Linked DNA regions of Arabidopsis thaliana. The protein of the gene in region 2 purifies or fractionates together with the protein of the main gene of each other region. This does not show direct contact. Each region holds a gene or a part of one and is shown on either strand. Other genes may lie near its edges. The genes, in order: AT2G44070, AT3G23145, AT5G38640 and AT1G44835.

What was found.
Region 1: the proteins of AT3G23145 (region 2) and AT2G44070 fractionate together in Arabidopsis thaliana (co-fractionation; one large-scale study listed by BioGRID). This does not show direct contact.
Region 3: the proteins of AT3G23145 (region 2) and AT5G38640 fractionate together in Arabidopsis thaliana (co-fractionation; one large-scale study listed by BioGRID). This does not show direct contact.
Region 4: the proteins of AT3G23145 (region 2) and AT1G44835 fractionate together in Arabidopsis thaliana (co-fractionation; one large-scale study listed by BioGRID). This does not show direct contact.

The regions. Positions count from the first base shown.
Region 1 is NC_003071.7:18,229,768-18,234,810, forward strand, and holds AT2G44070 (NagB/RpiA/CoA transferase-like superfamily protein), read right to left. Parts: upstream 2,864-5,043; 5' UTR 2,703-2,863; coding exon 2,682-2,702; intron 2,565-2,681; coding exon 1,720-2,564; intron 1,641-1,719; exon of another isoform or gene 1,623-1,640; intron 1,613-1,622; coding exon 1,558-1,612; intron 1,411-1,557; coding exon 1,330-1,410; 3' UTR 1,098-1,329; downstream 1-1,097. Other genes in the region: AT2G44065 (Ribosomal protein L2 family), read left to right, coding at 54-601.
Region 2 is NC_003074.8:8,249,727-8,254,140, reverse strand, and holds AT3G23145 (ATP binding / aminoacyl-tRNA ligase/ nucleotide binding protein), read right to left. Parts: upstream 2,004-4,414; coding exon 1,941-2,003; intron 1,783-1,940; coding exon 1,684-1,782; intron 1,501-1,683; coding exon 1,315-1,500; intron 1,189-1,314; coding exon 1,125-1,188; intron 1,010-1,124; coding exon 945-1,009; downstream 1-944. Other genes in the region: URO (C2H2 and C2HC zinc fingers superfamily protein), read right to left, coding at 3,044-3,562.
Region 3 is NC_003076.8:15,466,512-15,472,979, forward strand, and holds AT5G38640 (NagB/RpiA/CoA transferase-like superfamily protein), read right to left. Parts: upstream 4,214-6,468; 5' UTR 4,164-4,213; coding exon 3,677-4,163; intron 3,574-3,676; coding exon 3,454-3,573; intron 3,302-3,453; coding exon 2,940-3,301; intron 2,777-2,939; coding exon 2,032-2,776; intron 1,939-2,031; coding exon 1,842-1,938; intron 1,750-1,841; coding exon 1,695-1,749; intron 1,675-1,694; exon of another isoform or gene 1,572-1,674; coding exon 1,509-1,571; 3' UTR 1,168-1,508; downstream 1-1,167. Other genes in the region: CYB-1 (cytochrome B561-1), read left to right, coding at 3-51, 408-607, 704-1,000; APE1 (acclimation of photosynthesis to environment), read right to left, coding at 4,697-4,797, 5,247-5,344, 5,763-5,863, 6,063-6,252; AT5G38650 (Proteasome maturation factor UMP1), read right to left, coding at 4,697-4,797, 5,247-5,344, 5,763-5,863, 6,063-6,188.
Region 4 is NC_003070.9:16,937,572-16,943,711, reverse strand, and holds AT1G44835 (YbaK/aminoacyl-tRNA synthetase-associated domain-containing protein), read right to left. Parts: upstream 3,912-6,140; 5' UTR 3,804-3,911; coding exon 3,765-3,803; intron 3,418-3,764; coding exon 3,358-3,417; intron 3,260-3,357; coding exon 3,206-3,259; intron 3,111-3,205; coding exon 3,050-3,110; intron 2,921-3,049; coding exon 2,844-2,920; intron 2,555-2,843; coding exon 2,505-2,554; intron 2,402-2,504; coding exon 2,319-2,401; intron 2,219-2,318; coding exon 2,148-2,218; intron 2,061-2,147; coding exon 1,907-2,060; intron 1,811-1,906; coding exon 1,680-1,810; intron 1,607-1,679; coding exon 1,532-1,606; intron 1,447-1,531; coding exon 1,375-1,446; 3' UTR 1,189-1,374; downstream 1-1,188.

The DNA.
Region 1 (5,043 bases), on a different chromosome or scaffold from region 2:
GTGTGCGTTTTATTTTTTGATAGAAAGCCTCTATCTCTGTTGGTGTTTTGCAGGTTTTGCTGATACACAGAACAAATCATTGGTAGCACAAATGAAAGAAGAGATGCTCCACATGGACATCAACTCAATGATAGGAAGTTCCATGCCACTAGGTATGATGCGTATCGGAACAATCATCCACAACATCGAGATGAACCCAGGGCAAGGCGCAAAGATGGTCCGAGCTGCAGGAACCAACGCCAAGATCCTAAAGGAGCCTGCTAAAGGGAAATGCTTGATAAAGCTTCCGTCAGGGGACACCAAGTGGATCAATGCCAAATGTCGTGCTACGATTGGCACAGTGTCGAACCCGTCTCATGGAACGAAGAAGCTATATAAAGCAGGACAGAGTAGGTGGTTAGGGATAAGGCCCAAAGTTAGAGGAGTGGCGATGAATCCGTGTGATCATCCACACGGTGGAGGTGAAGGAAAAAGCAAAAGTAGTGGAAGCAGAGGAAGGACATCGGTTAGTCCGTGGGGAAAACCGTGTAAAGGCGGTTACAAATCAGCTAGTGTCAAGAAGAAGAAGAAGCGTTTGGCAGAAGCAGCAGCCAAAATGTGATATGGGTGAACAAGTTTCGATTTTCTTCAAACGTTTCTTTCTTTTAAAAAGCCTCCAATGTTATTTGGTTACGTTATTGAATCTGTTTTTTGAGAGTTTTTTAGGCTTCATGAAACTAGAAGATCTTTGATCAGTTGAGAATAAATATGGTTACGTGTTTACTTTTATTAAAAAAAAAAAATCGAATTCAAACGTTTTCATCATAACAACGTTTAAAACAATGCGAATTTCTTTTTTTTATATATATATTAAAATCGTCGAAATCAAATTTGAGAGATTTATATGCTTATACTAGAGAAAAGGGTCTAAAAAGAAAAGAAAAGGAAACAAGAGAAAGAGTCAAAAGGTTGGAACAATATGATGCATTGAATCAATCCCCACGATAAAAAAAAAACATTCAGCAAAAAAAAACATTCAGCACAAATGTCTTCTTTGACTAATTAATTACCCCAAAACATTAATCAAAAAAGTGAAGAAATCAATTTGACATCTTCCTTGGTCTAAACAAACAACCAACTATTGAAAAAGTTCCTTATAGTGGTTTTTGAAAATTGAAACAAAAAACGAGAATGGTATTCTATAGGGAAAATAGTGAAAGAAGCCCACAGAATTGGAATAAGGAATGAGAATTAGATGTAACAAACAACAGAACAGCAACCATGCCTTATAATCTTGGGTCCTACTCCTCCATATCATTTCATTTTTATTCTTACTTCTATTTTGAGCATCTAAATAACAATCTTTGAGCTTTGAAGCAAGTGTTCTTTCTGATATTCTCTTACGATGACAGGCACACTTGTGGGAGGTACCTGAAATATAAAACATGGTCAGTGTTCAATGGTTTGAGATTCTGAATGAGTGGAGAAACTGTGTTGCATGAGTTATGTTTAGGGATGAGATCACTTGATCACCATAATGCTATGTTTTTAATTAAGAGCCGATATGATTAATCTTACCATGCCATAATCTGTGATTATCATGGAAATGTAATCTGAAGGTGTAGCATCATACCTATCATTAGAAAAAAAATCACAAACGGGTTTAGTGGCAGGCAGAGAAGAATAGTATTAACAGAACATATATAGTTTCACTTGTACGATTAACACAAGCTAGCTTACATCAAGTTCAGAAACTTCAGCTTTGCATTGTTGGTCAAGCCATTTAAGTAGTTTATGTCTTCTCTTCCATGAACTTTTGAAATAGCATTTGGATCACCGAGCTCATTGGAGCATATTGAATAATCCAACTGCACCTTCTCATGGAACTTATAGGCTTCGCAACAAACAAGCACAGGAACACGGAAAGCATTAGCCACCATTGCAACACAAGCAGTGCCAACCCTTGAGTAAACTGTTCCGTTAGAAAAAACTGATGAGGCGCCCAAAAACACTTTGGTGACTTGGTGCATGATATATGATATGGCAGTTATATGAGTGTATGTACAGTTAATGCCTCGTTTGATCAATCTACGAAGCAGTAGCTTCCCTTGAAGCTTTGGTCGAGAATCCACCACAAAGACACGAAACTTTTTCCCGAGTTCATGTGCATGCACTAATATCATCTCAATGACAGTGGAAGATCCGTAGGTCAGAAGGACATCACCGTCTCTTATTTTAGTGACAGCATGTTCGACTATCACTGTATCTGCACCTATGATTTTCTCGTTAATGAAACGTTCAATATCTGAGTGAAGAGAAGCTTTTGCTTCAGATTCAGAAAGTGTTATAGGCAGCTTTGCAATCCTGTTTTTCACAAATCGGATTGCGTTTCCCATGCTAATCGAAAGCGGACGGCATTCTATGAGGAAAGAGACGTAGCTACTTATTTGAGCAGTCATGTCTCTATTAAGGGTATTCTCAGGCGGCGTCGAGTAATCTTTAACAACCTCTTGGAATGCTTGGAGCATCGCAATACATCTGGCATTGCCACCAGAAATATCCCAAGAAAGATAATGAAGACCAACCTGATAACCACAACAACGTCATACTCATTCACTAGACAAGTAACATTCATCTTAATGAGCAACCACTTATTAAAACAAAGAGATTATATAATTGTATATTACAAGCACTAACCATACCTTGTACACAGCAGAATGCATAGGGTCAAGAAGTTACGATTTTCTCAAATGCTTCTTCCTTTAAAAAGCCTCAAGGTTTGGTGACGTTATTGAATCTGTTTTTGAGAGTTTTAGGCTTCGTGAAATTGGAGGATCTTTGATCAGTTAAGAATAAATATGGTTAGGTGTTTCCTTTATTTAAATATCATCGATCGAAATCAAACGTTTTCGTCATGACCACGTTTTAAACAATGCGTTTTTTCCTTTTTTTATATACTAAAACTGTCCTAATCAAATTTGAGAGATTTTTATATATATGCTTATGTATTACTAGAGTAGGGCTCAAGTAAAAATTCGAGGAAAGGGTCTAAAAAGTATAATTCAGAAAACGAATAAAAAAGGAAACACGAGAAAGAGTCAAAAGGTTGGAACAATGCATTGAATCAATCCCCACGATAAAAAAAAAAAAAAAAAAGAAACATTCAACACGAATGTCTTCTTTGACTATTATCTATTAACCCAAAACTTTTAGTTATATATACATTTTATCTTTTTGATGAAACTTTGAATGCTGTAGGCTGTAGCAGAGAACAATATATTCTTCAGCAATATTAGTTTTAAGACGTTCACTGATAGATTAGAGTTAGAAATTAGTCGGTATTAAACCAAAAAAAAACACACACTAGTATAATACACTTGACCGCATAATTTTGCTTCCACTTGAAAAGTGAAGAAATCTATTTGACATCTTCCTTGGTCTAAACAAACAAGCAACTATTGAAAAAGTTCCTTATAGTGGTTTTTGAAAATTGAAAAAAAAAAACAAGAATGGTATTCTATAGGGAAATAGTGAAAGAAGCACATAGAATTGGAATTAAGATTGAGAATGAGATGTAACAAACAACAGAGCAGCCAGCCAGCCACCATCCTTGCAAACTTGGGTCCTACTCCTCCATATCAATTCCTCATTTCATCTTTATTCTTACTCTTCTCTTTAATCTTCTAATTAACAATTTTTGAACTTTTCATGTTTTGGTACATAACCAACGAAAAAAGAAACAAGTGACGTACAAAACACAAGAAGAAAATGAAATTATCTTAATTGATTCTGACCTAAAGAATTTAACATTTTCTCTTTCAAATCTTTTGTAGCAAGGGAGGTGAAACGAAAACGAATCATTAAGATACGTGCAATGAATCCAATAACCTCTATGACTAGCAGATGCATGAATTTTATTTTTGTGTTTCTGTTATGCATCTTTTTAGTTGCTTTTTAAGTCTGGTCATATCTTCGCTCAGACTTCACTGATGCAAAGCTGGATACAAAATCGACAAAAGTATATGTCCCCATATATTCCTATCTTTATACTGAAGAAAATATATACTTTAGCTTTATCTATCGCACTACTTTAGTCTTTAGAGTTGATTTATCAATTAGTTCCTAAATCAACTAATGCACATGATTTAATGTAATTAATTGTCTCTTAATTGTACGGATTAGGTGATGAAGATCCACCGTCCACCATGGCTGTAGTACCTAATTAATACCGTGTAAACTTTAAACCACGGGTATTACTTATGATTGTTATTAGAAAATAACATTAGCTTACCTCAAAAAAAATGAGGAATTTGTTTTTGATTTCTAGCAAAAAAAAAATGAAACCAAAAATGATTAGACGACTCTTTTGTTTGTAGACACAATAAATAATATAGAATTTTTGTAAGAAATTAATAGTTTAGAACAATATGCGTGTATTCAAAAAGAATATAATTAAGAATATTTGAAATGATTAAATACCAATATTATTATATTAGTTTATATTTTTAAATCAAATTACTCAATTACAAAAATAATACATTAGAAAATGATTAATTATATTTTTCTAAAGTGTTATAAAGACACCATTTCCTAACGGTATTGATTTTAGATAATAGAAAACAATAATTTGTGAGGAGAAAGTATTTAAAAGAAAACAGAAAAAGAAAATGTATAACGTAGAAGAAAGGTGGCTTTAGATTGGAGAGTTGTACGAGGAATATTAATAAGTCAAGTTGGTCGAGATATGCATTGAATCGATGGGAACGAGCCACGTGACAACGACATGTGCCGTTTCATCCACATTACATACCTTTTGAAATTATTGCTTATTTAATTCTTCTATCAACATTTTTTTTGCTTATACTTATTTTCTTCAATATATCTCATACCACTAACAATTAATAAAGGCTAATCTTAATAGAGAAATAGAATCATTCGTTTTAATAAACTCAAGTATATGTGATGAAACTGTGGGCATATCATATAAACTTGTTATTGAGCATAATAATTCATCTTATTATGTCCTACTATGCATTATGCAATGTATATAATATGAATTTTTTG
Region 2 (4,414 bases):
TTGTTTATAAACAAAAGAGCACAAAATCTAACGTAATCACTGTGTTTTGAACTGACACAAGTAGTCGGATATTTGATGAGATTAGTCTAATACTCTAATTAGATATTTTAATTAGTCAAATATTTACAAAAAGAAGATATGTATAACGCCTTAAGATGTTGATTAATATGAGGGACCTACAAAACTGTGATCTTTGATTTTATTATAATGTTTCCTTCACCATACATGAATCTAAAGAGTAATGAGTATATATTTGAAACCACATTGCTATTACTTTCCTAACTTTTAATTGTATGGTTTTGACTCTAGAAGAAACCATGTTAGACCACAGAATGTCAGAATCGCATGTGTTCTTTTATATTGAAGCTCTAATTAGTATCTACCAATCATCTTTGAAAAACATCATTGTTTAAAGCCTTTGTACATATTTATTTTATTTATTGATAGTACTATCTAAAGAAATTGAACCTAGAAGTTTTTAGACGACACGTTACCTAAGTTTTTTTTGTTGGTGTTTTTAGTGGTCACTGTAACAACAGAGAGTTTTAGCATCACTACCTATAACCATAATCTTGATGCTTCAAACGGAGTCATACAATTACAGAACAAAAAAAAATACATTGAAACTCTTGAGCATATTTTGTGAAGCTAGTTCGGATAATTTTGAATTTCCACAAGTAACAAAGTTTCTTGTTGTTTTTGTAATAAATCCCATCTTTATCTATAGAATGAGTACAAAGTCTCAAGAGACATTTAACTTTTTGCAACGATCTAGAAGAAAACACTTTAAAAGGCTCTCATGCGTTCTTCTTGCTTAACAATTAGTCACCGACTGTCAAATGCAAATGTTCTCCTAGAACCACAGTCATAACAGGGTGCTTTTCAATGCATGAGCACAATGAGAAGGAAACCCATATATCAAATATACAACTTATATATGACCATTAATCGCTTCGGTTACATTTATTTACCTCACGGGCAACACCTTCGTTTTTCAAAGATTCATCTTCTCGTAGATCAAGAATTACCATAACATCATATCTGAACCATGAACGAATGCAAATATTATATGTTTCCTCAACAATAGAGCATAGAGAAGTGGTATTTTTAATTAAGATATGTACTATCTACAGCTGCATCAATCTCTGTATCTTTCAAACCATCTGGACGTTTGAAATCTCTGACAATCTAAACAACACATGAACAAAATGTGTCATGAACATGGGTTCTTGAAGATACTGTAAACTTAAACAAGAAAGAAAATAAACTTAATGTTAAAGGTGGTGATATAAGGAAGATGTTGTCAAATCTAACCTTCTTAATTATCTCGTTCTCAAGACAAACACGATAGTCATCTGCACCAAAGACAGGAGCACAATGGACAATACCAGTACCACTATCATTCATGACATAATCATCTGCTACTAGTCGAAAAGTCACACTTGAGAAATCGCTAAAAGTAATCAAACAAAGGTTCATACTTCTTCCCAACCAAGGAATCTCCATTAAAATTTTCCAAAACTTGATAAGAATCCTCTTCACTGTCAAGCTTAATTAGCACCTTTCGCATTATGGTATCACTAGTAAGTTCCATTAGTTAAGCCGGCCTTAGGCTTATCACTAGGAAGCGATGACAACCGAGATTCAGCAACAATGTAGACTTTTCCAGTGTTGTTGACGAACCTTAAGATAGACAAACTTTGCATTGACACACAAAGCAAGATTACTTGGAAGAATCCATGGAGTAGTAGTCCATGCCACAAGAGCCGTATTATCTTGGATCTCCGATAACAGGGAATGTAACCATTACTAAATATGCAACACAATATGCAACAATAAATATGCAAAAAAAATATATATATTTAACACAAAAAAAAAAAAAAAAATGCAACAACAGAATGTTATAATCTTCATTAGCAACAAGGCCAACAACAACATACCTTATAGTTCTGACCAGCTTCAAAATTAGATAGTGGTGTTTTACAACCAGTACTATAAGGCATAACCTTGAAGCATCTATAGACAAGATTCTTATAAAAAAATCAGCCTACTACACCCAATTAAAATCTTTAATTTGAGTTATATATTTTAACACCGTCATTTCAATTTTTCCATGATTTTTAAGCCCAGCAAATCATAATCTGGCTCTTGAAATTTACGAACCCAAAAATCAAACCTCCAAATGATATTGGGCCTTTTAACTGGTCATACTTTGATCGCTACTTCTACTTCTAAACTTCAACTTTCAGTTCATAAAACCCAGATTTGACTTTCATTTACTCTCCTTTATTTTTTATGCATGTAATATACTATCACATTTTTATAATCATAATTTGTTTTACAACATCAAGGCTATGATTGATTCATATGAGCTCACATGGGTCTGCAAAAATGTAGTTTCTAAATTTGGAAGGCTTTTCAAATGGTGTAAATTATAAACTTCACCAACCTATTATTAAAACGCATATAATGTTTATCCCATTGCAGTTCGAATTCATTCATAATATAAGTTTAAACTTACTTTATAATGTAAATTCATACAAACCCACTTGAAATGTAAATTCATGTAAAATATTATACAAGAGAATGATAGATAGTCTTTGATTATACAAACCCAAATTTCATACAACGTAACTAATTATTAGAACATATTACGCAAAACTACTTGATCTATAGATCTACACTAATATATAGTTATGGAAAAGAACAATAATCCTGTACTATACAAACCCAACTTCAGACAACAAGAACATTTTTTTTTCTTTTTGAAAAAGGTATAACAAAAACATTACTCAAATTAACCTATTTGATCTATAATTTTTAAGTGAAAAATATAGTCTTGAATTATACAAACCCAAACTTCATACGATCATGATAAAAACATGACTCCAAGTCCAACATATTTTGATCATACTACATATATATTGAAAACATATATAAACACCACAATAAACATCATGCACTATACGGTGATTAACTTTCAACTATATATATATATTGTATATGGTTACGTGGATCGAACGTGAGGGAAACCGCTGCAAGCTTAATGATGACGATGACCGCCGAGTCGAAGATCAAGATCAAGATCACCATCTTGAGGTTGAGAACCTCCGGTCTCTGGTGGGCTCCGGTGAGTGTCATCATCTTCATTCATGGATCCGAGCCCTAAGCTCAAATTAAGATCATGAGACGCCCCTTGAGCAAATCTCCCTCCTCCTCTTGATGATGATGATGATCCAAAGTATTGTGTGTTGTGGCTAGGGTTAATAGGTGGCTGAGACCCTTGGTGTAGGTATGACTCAATGGTCGGAAAATAAGGAGGAGGGTTTGTGAAGTTTGTGGAGGAGGAGGGAGACTGAGATGGTAACGGAAGAGAAAATGGAAATGAGTGAGAAGAAGAAGAGGAGGAGGGGTATCTTTCGCGTTCCCTGCGGTGGATGTTATTGTGACCACCGAGGGCTTGAGGATTCGTGAAACCTCTCTTGCAGATGTCGCAGTCATAAGTCCGGCGGTTTTCTCCAGAGCCAGAGCCGGAATCAATTTGTTTGTCCCGGTGGTTCATCTCTCTCTTCTTCTTCTGTTGGGATCTCTCTCAAGTCTCAGTATTCAATGTTTTGAAAATGAGTGTATGAAGCTTCTTAAAAACACACACCAGCGTATATATAAGCTAAAGGAAAGATTATGTGTGTGAACGGACACTAATTAGGGCTAAATTGTTTTATCAATGGTTAATATATATACTTTAGGGTCTTTAATGTACTTAATTACGGGGGTGTGTATTATAATTAAATTCGTGCGTCTAATGTAACATGAATTAATAACTACAAAAACGTCATGCTTAGAATTATTTTAATTAGTTTATTTTCTAACAATTTTCAGGGAAAGTTTAACAAAGGATAATATAATAGATAAAGTTGAAAAATATTCTTCATAGGAAAACAAACTACAGAAGGTGTTATTTATAAGGTTTCGAGTGACTAGTTAGGGTAGCTAGTTTCTCTCTATTCAATTTCATTTTTGTTCAAGAAAAATATAAAGTTGTTCATCTTTGAATATAGTACAAAAAAGTACTTATTTGTTTGGATCGAGAGTAAAAATTGCAAAGTAAAATTGTAAAAATTGGAAGGCTAGTAGGAGCTAGTGAAATATTAAAGCTTAGTTAAATTTAATCTAATATAGTGTGAAATATATTTTGAATGTGAACATGTAATACCTACAAAATAATAAAACCAAATTTTTTAAAAGAAGCATTCACTAAGGAGTTGTGGACTTGTGGTTGTGCTTAAAGTAGGTAAAACAATTAAGAATATACAAATTGCTCTCATTAATTAAATAGCATTTATGAAATTTATTATGAGTTCTCCCCAAAACTGAAATTGATTTCGATGGTTTCTATACTTAGAAAAATATGCTT
Region 3 (6,468 bases), on a different chromosome or scaffold from region 2:
AGGTTCATCCAGTGATGATGGTGATTGGACTCATACTCTTCAATGGAGAAGGTAAGCAAACAATCTCCTTCACATGTTAAGAGTTTGTAGTATATTACCGTCTTAACTTCATATTTTAGACTTCAAATTTGTAGTATATTACCGTCTGGCGACTATTCTAATGTCAAGAGGTTTTAGTATTCGTTGTATCGGTTTTCATGTTCGATTTCCGCATACTTCATTTGTCAAAGAGACTGAACTGTTGAATTGCCCTTTTTAACATTTGAGTACATTGAAATTTTATGTCAAGAGGTTTAGGACTCATAGGATTAGTTTTTTTTGTTTTTAGTTACGGCATTGTTAATTCGGTAAAGAGACCATGGACATGTTTTCGTTTCTAACATGAACGGTACCTTCAACTTATGCAGCTATGTTAGCATATAAGTCAGTTCAAGGTACAAAGAACTTGAAAAAACTGGTTCATCTTACACTACAACTCACAGCATTTATTCTAAGCCTGATCGGAGTGTGGGCTGCTCTCAAGTTCCATATTGACAAAGGGATCGAAAATTTCTACAGTCTCCATTCGTGGCTCGGCCTTGCTTGCCTCTTTCTCTTTGCATTCCAGGTACACTCTCTGTTCTGACTTGTTTTAAAATAACAATCTCCATTACTCAGTAAGAATAAATATCAAGAACTCACTCAAATCTATTGTTACAAACAGTGGGCTGCAGGGTTTGTGACTTATTGGTACCCGGGTGGTTCAAGAAACAGCAGAGCCAGTTTGATGCCATGGCATGTGTTCTTAGGGATTTCCATATATGCATTGGCGTTGGTGACTGCAACCACAGGGATACTTGAGAAGGTGACGTTCCTGCAAGTGAATCAAGTGATAACTCGGTATTCCACAGAGGCAATGTTAGTCAACACAATGGGCGTTCTAATCCTTATTCTTGGCGGTTTCGTGATACTCGGTGTGGTTACTCCGGTCAGTGGCAAGGATCAAGTTCTCACACAATAGAGTAAACCCTCGAAAAGATCTCTTTCAACATTTCGACCTATCGAAACATTGTTTATTTAAGAGACAATTTGTGATGTAATTGAGTCTTTTTGAACTGATTTAACGAGCAGTGCATATATGACTGTAATACAAGTAAAGCATGAGAACACGTGTAACCAATGTTGAAGACTGAACCCAACAAAAATTGGCATAGAATCTGAGAAAGATTTGTATCAACCTCCATGAGAAGGGAGAGTAAGAGAAGCCTCACTCATACATCACAGACAAAGAAAAACATCACCGATATCGATAAAATCTTCCCGGAGAGGCGGATGATGAATCGCACTCTTCACAGAGTCAAAAGTTTCTAAAAACAAGTCAAGGCCAAAAAAAATGAACCCGGTACTCAGGAAAAGAAGCGGATGAGGGGAGGCAGTGCCGGTAGTTATTCTATCTGGGTTGTGATGAGAAGAGCCTGAGCTAGAGGAGGGGGTTGGAGAAGAAGAGCTTTCGCAAAAATGAGCTTTGCTTAGACAAGCAAGTGTTCTTTCTGATATTCTCTCACGATGACAGGCACACTTGTGGGAGGTACCTGAAAACGAAAACATTGCGTTCAATGGTTTGAGATTCTGAATAAGTGGAGAAACTGTATTTTATAGGTCTGAGACTTCAGGAACCTAATGCTATGTTTTTAAGAGACGATGGTTAATCTTACCATGCCATAATCTGTGATTATCATGGAAATGTAATCTGAAGGTGTAGCATCATACCTGTCATTAGAAAAATCACAAACGAGTTTAGTGGCAGAGAGGATTAGTATTAACAGAACATAGTTTCACTTCTCCGATAAACACAAGCTTACATCAAGTTCAAAAACTGCAGGTTTGCGTTGTTGGTCAAGCCATCTAAATAGTTTATGTCTTCTCTTCCATGAACTTCTGAAATAGCATTTGGATCACCTAAAGGTAAAGAAGCAAGAAACCCAATGTAAGGTAAAACAAAATCAAAGGCGGTATAAGATGATACTGATATCGAGAGAAGATATTGCATACCAAGCTCATTGGAACATATTGAATCCAATTGCACCCTCTCATGGAACTTGTAGGCTTCGCAACATACAAGCACAGGAACACGGAATGCATTTGCAACCATTGCAACACAAGCAGTCCCAACCCTTGAATAAACTGTTCCGTTAGACAAAACTGACGAGGCGCCCAAAAACACTTTGGTGACTTCATGCATGATATATGAAATGGCATTTATATGAGTGTATGTACAGTTAATGCCTCGTTTGATCAATCTACGAAGCAGTAGCTGCCCTTCAAGCTTTGGACGAGAATCCACCACCAAGACTCGAAACTTTTTCCTGAGTTCATGTGCATGTAATATTACCATCTCAACAGCAGTGGGAGATCCGTAGGTCAGAAGGACATCACCGTCTCTTATTTTAGTAACAGCATGTTTGACTATCACCGTATCTGCCACTATGATCTTCTCGTTAATGAACCGTTCAATATCTGACTGAAGAGTAGCTTTTGCTTCAGATTCAGAAAGTGTTATAGGCAGCTTTGCAATCCTGTTTTTCACAAATCGTATTGCGTTTCCCATGCTAATCGAAAGCGGACGGCATTCTATGAGGAAGGAGACGTAGCTACTTATTTTCGCAGTCATGTCCCTGTTAAGAGACTTCTCAGGCGGTGTTGAATAATCTTTGACAACCTCTTGGAATGCTTGGAGCATCGCAATACACCTGGCATTGCCACCAGAGATATCCCCAGAAAGATATTGAAGACCAACCTGATACCACAACAACTGATACTCATTCAGTATACAAGTAACATTCATCTTAATGAAGCAATATAAACCACTCATTAGAACAAACGGTTCCTTGTTTTAACAAAGAGATTATTAATAGTTTATTAGAAGCACCAACCAGATAAATTCAAGAGAAAACAAATACCTTGTACACAGCAGGATGCATAGGGTCAAGTTGGAAGAACTTAGTCTCGAGATCAGGAAGTTGAGTGCCATGCTCATACTGAGGCAAATGCCTAAATAGCTCAACCCTGTTTTTAGCCTCGGTCTGTTTTACAACAGCACGTCTTTTAGCCTTCACGACTCTACTCTCATCATCATACTGCATGCGGGGATGAGGAGCATCTTTCTTTCTATCTTTTTCAGATGGACCTCCCTTCTTCTCAGCTGCTCCAGTAGCAACAGCAACATCATTCTTCTGAGATGTAGCCTTCGCTGGTTTAGCAGCTTTAACACTTGTTGAAGCCACCGAGGCTGAGGACACTGGTGCCACCTTCCCACCATCAGCTGATATAGCACAGTATTACACAGACTGATTAAGATATTGCAAAATACACAACGATAACACAACAGAGCAACCAGCATATCAAATCTCTGTACTAAGCTGACGAATCATTCATTGCGATAAAACCACACATTGGTTTAAATCAAAAATGCACCTTTTGCAGCAGCTTTAGCAGCTCTTTGAGCTTCTTGAATAGCTCGTCTCTCAGCTTTAGTGGTTTTCTCTTTCAATGGCTTCTTCTGGTCACTCTGCACCTCCATTCCACTAGCCTTCTCTGCAATTATATAACATTGTGAATACATTAGCCTCATATATCCTAAAGAACAAATTTCAAAATCAATCAAATTATGATTCCACAAGATCAAAAGTGAGAGTACCAGAAAGTCCAGGAGGCATGGTAACGACGGAGACAGTGGTTAAACCACTAGCAGGAACACTACTAGATTTAGCAGCAGCCATAGAATCCATCCCAATACCAGGCAGCGAAGAAGCAACAGGAACAGATGATTTTACGAAACTACCCCTGGAATGGCGTCCAGGAGACGCCGTCGTTGATCCATCAGGGAAATCACGGCGACTTGAGTAAGAAAACGAAGAAGGAGACACGGCTGACGCAGCAGCACCAGCGACAGCGACTCGAAGAGGGAAAGTATCAGAGGAATTGAGACGAGGAGGAGGAATCATGACGGGGGAGAGTGAGTTACCGGAAGGAGAAATGGTGGAAGAAGAAGAAGAAGCAGAGGTAGCAGCGATCGGGTCGGGTTGTTGTTGTTGAGTTGATGAATCGGGTTGAGATGATGTGAAGAAACCGACTTGTCGGACCTTTGGATCTACTACGGCGCGAGGGTTCCGACGAGACTCCATCGCGTCGGAGGAGAAGAAGCTCTGGATTTTTTCTCGGTGAAGACGGAATTATTAATTTTGGGGATCGAATTTAATTTTTGTTTTCCCAGACGAATAAAACGTAGAATAGGGTTTTTATTTTTATTTATTTACTTTTTCAGATTTATCCGATGTTAACAGTCCAGTCCGAGTCACTAAAACAATCTTACTTTGTTCTTTTGTTTTTGTTTTGTTTAGAGTATTAATCCATATGCAATTTATTTATTCTAATAGAATCTAGTATCCAAGGTTTTGGTGTCAGTAACATAATAATGAAATAGGAGCATAATCTTATTTAAATAACTAAGCAAGTCCAACAAATTGTGAACTGAGAGAGATAAGAACTGAAACACAGTTCATATGTTTTATCATGTTCAGAGCAAAGGAGACACAGTATAGAGAAGAGATCAAACAACAAGTAGATTCTTTTAGGGCTGGTGGAAATTCATAACATGATCTTACTCAGATTAAAAAGCATATGAGACCTGACGAAGGAAATACTTTGATGGTGGTGACTACATGAAACTTGGGGAAGCTGGGCCTTTGGAGAGACCAAGCCGAACTTCCATCCCGTGGTGAAAGTCTACTGGTTTCAGCGTCTCGGATTCGCGAGGATCTGTAGATTATACACCATTCATCGTCAGAACAATATAAATTGTGAAACTAAGAGAATTAAAAAGTTTAAACATTTTTCTCTTATATACTGAACCAAAAGTTCAACTTTGGTTACACAATGTAAGTAAGTAGTATGTGACAGTCAATTTTTGAGCAATGCTCGATGATTTGTGACAGTCTAACTGGAACAAAGGTTTGTCACTGTCTATTGGTGTTTTGGAGTGGAACAATCTACAAAGTAGAGACTAGTAAGCGAAACGAAATAAACAAGTTGAGACACTTTTCTATTATATGCTAAACAAAGAGTTAAACTCTATGCAAGGATGAGGATGATTTGGTTACACAATGCAAGCAGTATGTGACGGTCATGTTTTGAGAAATGCTCAAAGATTGTAGGAATAGAAAACTCTAATGCACAACCAAATGGGAAAACTGGTGTAAAACAATTACCATTCAAGTAATCCTCAAAACCAAAATTATCTAGAGCTCCTGTGTAGACTTCAAGGCCAAGCATTGATGAAGGAATTGGTCCAGGAGGTCTCTGAAACCTGAATACTCCACATAAAAAGATATACAATAAATATTCAATTCACCAATAAATATTCAATGAAGAAGAGGCTGCTCTATGCGTTTATGGTTCTGAATTCAATCTACATATTGCTACTAATTTAAGAGTATCCACTACGCGTTTATGGTTCTGCAAATCTAATTCTAAGTAGCACTACACGATTATGATTCCGAATTTTCGATATAATCATTATGATGATTCATATACACATTTGTACTAACAATATTTCAAAATTCAGAACAGCAATTGACCTAATCAAGATAGATTACTAGCATTAGGAAACCATATTTCAATCTTAACAGTATTCTATAAAGCCTAAGGAAGATTCTCATACATTCTCATACCTAATAATCAGTGTAATTCAGAATTTCATATGCTACAGATTTAAAGATCCATACCGAGAAAGGATTTGTCTATCAAGATCCATCTTCAAAGGAAGAGCAGCTCCATAAGTATGCGTGATCACTCTCCTCTTCATTTCTTCTTGTGATTGCTTCCCCTGAAATCACAATAAACAAGTTTATAGAAAGGAAAAAAAAAAACTAATTTCAGAAACCCCGTCAAAAAATCCCAATTCTCAAATTTCTGAATCAACACGAAGCTTATTCATCAACACCCTAAGTTCCTTAATTAGCCTAATTTTCTAATTCCTCAATATCAATAAAAAAAAAAAAAAAGATTGTGAAGTGATTGATTACAGATTCGTAAGCCGTTTCGAGAGGATGAGATCTAAGGATATCGCTCTTAACGCCGTGAAGACCAAAGCGAAGAGCATCGTTCTTCATACCTCCGATCTCATGAGCTATCTTCTTCTGCGACTCCATCTCTCCTCTTCCTCTTCGTTTTTTTTTCCTCCGCCGTTCTACTTTTAACTTTCTCGGCGACTTTCTGGGCAAGCAAGCAAGGCAAAAGTTTCAGAGAAAGAAGAAGGAATGATTTTGCTTAAGTTTAGTAGAATGAATTTTATGTAAAGCTCAAACTCAAGGCCCATTTGGGCTTTTCTTATTTGTAAGCCCATAAAACTCTTTTTTCTGTCGCATATTTCTTTCCTAACCTTTTTTCTTTCTTACAACACATTTTTCTTTTCTAACTTATGTGCTTAAT
Region 4 (6,140 bases), on a different chromosome or scaffold from region 2:
TCCGTTTTGAACTACTTCCTGGCGTTTCACAACTCAAATTTGCTGTATCAACCTTATCTTCAAACTTCACAAACAAGTTTAGACCCCTGTTTTCTCTAAGGGTCTTTAGATAGTATTGAAGTCCAATCTCGCTTGTAACCAGAACCGGTGGAGTCTTATCCTTTGTTGCAAACATGTTCTTATTCGGTACAGAGTAACTTAACAGAGGATTTAAACCCTTGACGCCAAACTCCTGCAGAATTGCTTCGTTCAACGCATCCAATGTTATCCTCTCATGAATTGGGACAACCCTTGAGAAAAGTTGGTTACATATCTCCAATTTCCACTCTCCAGTCGAAGAACAAAACCACTCTCCACATATAACCATGATATAGTCGTCCATCGATCCCTGTACATATAAACGATAAAATAAAAATTGGTTATATTCTGATTCCCGTAACAAATAGAAAGCACGAAATTGCGTTTTAATATCATGATATCAGTTTTCTACAATCGTACCTCCTTGGAAACGACAGTTGGCCAAAGTTCGATGATCGAAACCCAGAATCTTATGTGTTTCAATGGATCTCGTGTGTCAGTTTGAATTTAGTCGAAAAGCAAGGGAAGTTACAATGATTAATCACGGCCGTTTAATTAAATGAAATCCGACGATCGTCATAACGTGGAAACTGTTTTTTCTAAACCGACCATTTTAACCGTATATTTTAGACCAAAACCAAACGAAACCACAAACCGGTTTGTAGTAATATCTCTTACCAATTAGTGGGGGTAAATATGTCTTATTTCACTCCAAAAGCAAGGCAAAGTGCCTCTAGTTTTTAAAGTGTATAAAGTGAATTAAGTTTCTCCGAAAGTGCCTCTATGTGTAACATTCCTTCAAAAAATCTAAAACCAAGTTCAACTATATTTTCAAATTTTCTAAAACCTAATATAGGTGAGTATAAAAACGTTTGCAATATACATATAAAAGTCATATTTCCTATTATTTTAGACTATGTATGATTAATTTGCATTTGTTGGAGATAGAGGGTAAAATTGCAAAAATGAATGAGTTAGAGTTTTTTACACAAAACCTTTTATTTTAGTATATGAAATATCCGAATATTTCTTTTATTCCAGAAAATCGTAAGTTTTAGATGAATGTTTTTCTTACGTTTTGTTCGAATTTCAAATTCAGTTTTCGGATATAGAAAAGGTTTATCTTTGATTGAACAAACAAAGCAACAATAAGTGAATAAATGGTTCGAGCTTTCATGTAAATGTAATCATTTTCAGTCTTATCTAAAATTTGCTGTCCAACGAAGGAAAATATATTGCTGAACCGGTAATGTTTCTCTCCCAAATATCTCCGGTTCAACATGTAAACCAAACCTCTTACAATCGCTTCGGCTGGTGGCGTGTACCAGCATAAAAACCTTCTGCGTACGCTGAGTTCTTGTACATAATCTGCAATCAATTTACATAGAACCAAGATTAGTACAAACGGCTTAGTCTTACCCGATGCGAACCATGTATATCGAAATGTACTCACAGAGAGGTGGGTCAACTCTGAGGTAAGTCGTTTTCTTAGTGTTTCTGCCAAAGCCTCCACGCACTCTCCCTTAGCCTGTATATAAAACCGGTTCAGAGTTGATCTATAAATGTTACGAAATCGACTTTAGTTTCGGGATTGAGTTTACTACCTCGGACAATAATAGAGCCGAAGTTTTGTCCAAAATCTCCTGCACAAATTTCTCCGGGTTCTTGTAAGCTGATGGAGCTGAATTTTCAGCGACGCTCTTCACCTTACAAGCTGGCTTGCTCGTTTTGGCTGCACCGTTGAAGAAAACCGAGTTATATAAACCAATCCTTCACGGTTTAACAAGACTTGGAGCGCATGGTTAAGAAACTGATAAATCAGGCATACCTGAAGCCACAGGCTTGACCTCTGCTGACACACTTTTTGGAAGAGGAATTTGTGTAGAAGATGTTTGATTAGGAATCTCGGGAACAATAACTGAATTAGACGGAACACAAACAGCTAGATCTGGAGCCTGGTCTTTACCAACTACCGGGTTAGCCTGAAACAGCAAAAGGTTCAAAAGGTTAACCCTGAGGAAAGGAACTGTGGAACATGAGTTCTCAAGTTAAAGGTTTAGAGTATTTGCCTCAAGGTCAACGTATACGGGATCTCTCCCAATCGACTTCAGAAACTTGTCCAGACCCAATGTGTTCAGAGCTGGAAATGATAGGAACCAACCAAATTAGATATAAGCTAAAATCTGATGTTATGAACTATTTTGAACCATAAAAGAAAAGTCTGTAATGAAAGAACTTACAGACTGAGACATCGTTAGACAATGGGTGGAAGATGCAACGCGTTTGGTTCTTGAATTTTTGGTCTAACAAGAGAGACACGTCTCTTTAACATGGAAAGTTTTAATAAAGAATGTCAGTCAATGGAAATAATTAGGAACTTGGAAGGGAAAACACCATATGAACCAATACCGTAAGGCAAACAATACCTTGCTGATTCATTTACAACTGCAAACGGGGTAACACATCCGAGGGATACCTTTAACGAAAAAAGAGAGTAGCACGAGTGTCAAAAATTGTAAACATGAATGACAATAAGTTCAATATATTCGTGTGGATTTGTTGTAAACTGCGATAAGCAAAACAAACATATCACCATGCATAAATAGATCATTTAAAGCAATTTGGTTTGGAGAAACTTTTCTTATCAATTGTCAAAAAAACTATCGCTACCATGGTTCCCATGTTACAGCACAATCATTTAATAAAACTCTTTCCAGATATATATAACAAAACACAGTAGCAGAGGAAAAGACTATGAAAAATACCTGCAAAAGCTCACCAAGTGCTTCTTCTGGAGCCATTCTAATCCCTCCTTTTCCAAGACCAAGTCTCTGAGATAAAACTGTTTAAATTAGAAGTCACAGGGAACACACATTAACATCCAAAAAAAAAAACATTCAAACTTCACAAAGCCCAGAGACTTCTTCTATGCCAATATCCACAAACGAAAAAAGGAGAAAACATATGTTACCTTTCATGTCAACTTTCGTATCCACCATCGCTGAAACAATATAATACCGATGTTTCTTGTCCTGCAAAAACAAAATAGAGGCATATGCACCATTAACAATCAACTAATACTCTAACTTGATAATGCCTTTAATGGTGTACCGCTTTGAAAGACTACCTTCAAGAAGAGATTCTTACTCAGTGCACCCTTACTACTGCTAACATACTTGGCCTGAAGATTTAAATACACAAAACAAAGCCTTATAAATCCATCTTTAAACATCATACACTTAAGTTTTAAAAATCTAAAACATTTTAAGGTATATTCACCTGTTCTTCGACGGTTAGTACAGGCGGATGTTCATACTTGGAATAATCAATCTCAAGTTCCTGAAAGATAGATACAAATCCTTAATCATCAATTCACATTGCCACATTTTTTTAACATTGACACTAACAAAACGTGTAACACCAAAATTCTTGACCTAAGGGTTAGAATCTAAAAGTAGACATTGAAAAACTTCTGAGTTCAAGACGACTATACACATAACTTGGAATCCATAGATACACATCCAAATCCATTAATACACATAACTTCTTCAAATAGAATCAAGCATAAAACGAAGTAACATTTTCCGTTCTCTGCTAATGATTTATCTAATCTTATCTGACAAATTCCAACAAAAGCAATGCGAAATGAAAATGATGTAATTGAGTTTAAAGGTGAAAATGGAAACCTGAAGTCGATCAAGCAACTGATCTTTGGTGAAACCCATTGAATCGAAAAAATCAAAAATCAGAGAATTTGGACTGAGAAAGGAGCAAGGAACTGCAGATTTTGTTGAGAAGACGAAAGTTTAGGTTTTGCAGATTTTGCAGTACTGGATTGAAAAACATTAAACCTTCTTAGTAAACTAGAGGATTACACATTGGGCTTTTCAATCCACGACCATACTTAACTTGCAAATGCCTAAAAGGCCCAACATATAACCACAGGTCATAAGAAAATACAAATTTTTAATTTAAAATTAAACTGTTTTAAGTTGTCATAAATGGTGCACCACAAATAAAAAAAAGTCATCATAAATTTGGGCTACGAAAAATATCTTTACAAGAAGGATTGATTGTAGATATTTGAAACTGATTGTGTAGAGTTTAGTCTCGGTGGCGTATTCGCCTGATGATTGACCAGCTTTCTCCAACCTATTAGACGAGTTTGAATGTTCCGAGCTTTAATTTCTTATTTTAAAAATTTTTTTTTTTATAAATATTAGGAGGTTCTGGACCGAATCCCGTAATCTCTCAGACCCGAAACCACAGCATGTAATATTAGTTTCGTCCCAAACGTCACTCGAATCGGCGACCTCTAAGGTTCGTCTAGGGTCTTTACCAATTGAGCTAACGACGCTTGGTTCGATTTCTTATTTTTACCGTTTATGTAATTCTAAAGCATATTGTTTAACCTGTTTTTCTCGTTTATTGTTGTCTGATGTTATTTTTGTAAACTCTTCTCCTCTAAATTGGGCAGCCGATCATAGAGTTATATTTTAATATATGTGTGGTTGATAAAAAATATATATATATTAATATTTTCTAATAACATATAAATATAAAAGTAGTTAGAAATGAATATAAAATAGTTAAAAAAATATTGATTGATTTTTGTGTAAATTATAAAAATCATTAGTTATGTTTAATTAATTATATTTTTGTTGTTGTGTGTTTAATTTACGTGTTTCAACATTTGGGGGACTGACTTTGTGGATTTGGATATGGTTCATTCAAATAGATTTTGCTAGGATTTTTGTTTAATTAGTTGTTTTAATTTCTTGAATAATTAATCTACGGCTTTAAAGAGTATGGTTACTGCTTAACACACTATTCTTAACTTTTTTCTCTGATGTGCTGAAAGAACACTTTTCAGCCCCAATACAACAAAACAATCACTGGTATGAGAAAATAAAATAAGAAATCCATATTTTTTCATCAAATAAGTAATCAATTTTGACTATGTATTAAGACCATCTCCAATGTATAGCTCTATATCTTGTTCTAAAATAGAGTAACTCAATTTTAGAGATGAGTTTTTCTCCAATGTATATCTCTATTTTCTACTCTAAAAAAGAATATTCTTAGAAATATTCTATTTCTATTTTATATACTAATACTTTTTAATTATATAATTTAAAATTTGACCCCATATATTATAGATTTGCAAAATTCGTATAAAATATGAAATTATTTAAATTAAACACTTATTATTTATTAAAAATCATTACATCATATAAAAATAATAAAACATTACAAATTTTATTTTAATTAACACCATTAGAATATTTATTATAAATAACACGGTTAACACCATTAGAATATTTGTTTTAGTTTTTTATGTTGTTTATTTTAAATTTAGTACTTGTTTGCTTCTTGTTAAGTTTATAAAACTATTAAAATTAGTATTTGTTTGTTTGTTAAGTTTATAAAACTATGTGTTGTAATTGTTGTTTGTAAAATGATTATATGCATTAAATAAAAAAAGTTTAAATTTGAGGGACTAAAGTATAAATAAAAAAATTGAACTCAAAAATAGAGTTGAGGATAGAGTTGTTCTATATATAGAGTCAATCTGTAGAAATCTCTATTTTTGAGTCAATTATAGAGTAGGGTTGGAGAAGAATTTTGCATTTTGACTCTAAAATAGAGTAGGGTTGGAGATGCTATAAGCCATTTTAGAGGTAAAGTGTCCGCAAAACGAAACCCTAATTATGAGAAACAAACAGGAAGAGAGGAAAATTAAGATTGCTTTCTCCTGCTAAGTCGATAATGAGATAGACTAGTAGCATTTAGCTTATGGTCATTTTGAAAAGTTCGTGTATGTATTTACTAGGCTAAACCGCTAAAGTAATTAGTATAGGAAAAAAGAATTTATAGAGTTCATTAGTCCGAGTATGTTAAACAATTAACAACCCCCGGTTCGCATATTGGAACCATAAAATACTTACAATAACTAAAATAGGCGTATAATGGATTGTCTAGCCATCGTGAAATCGCAATCTTAGTATAATTGACAAATGACAAATCAATTAACATTACACGATTTAATATTCGTTATAATG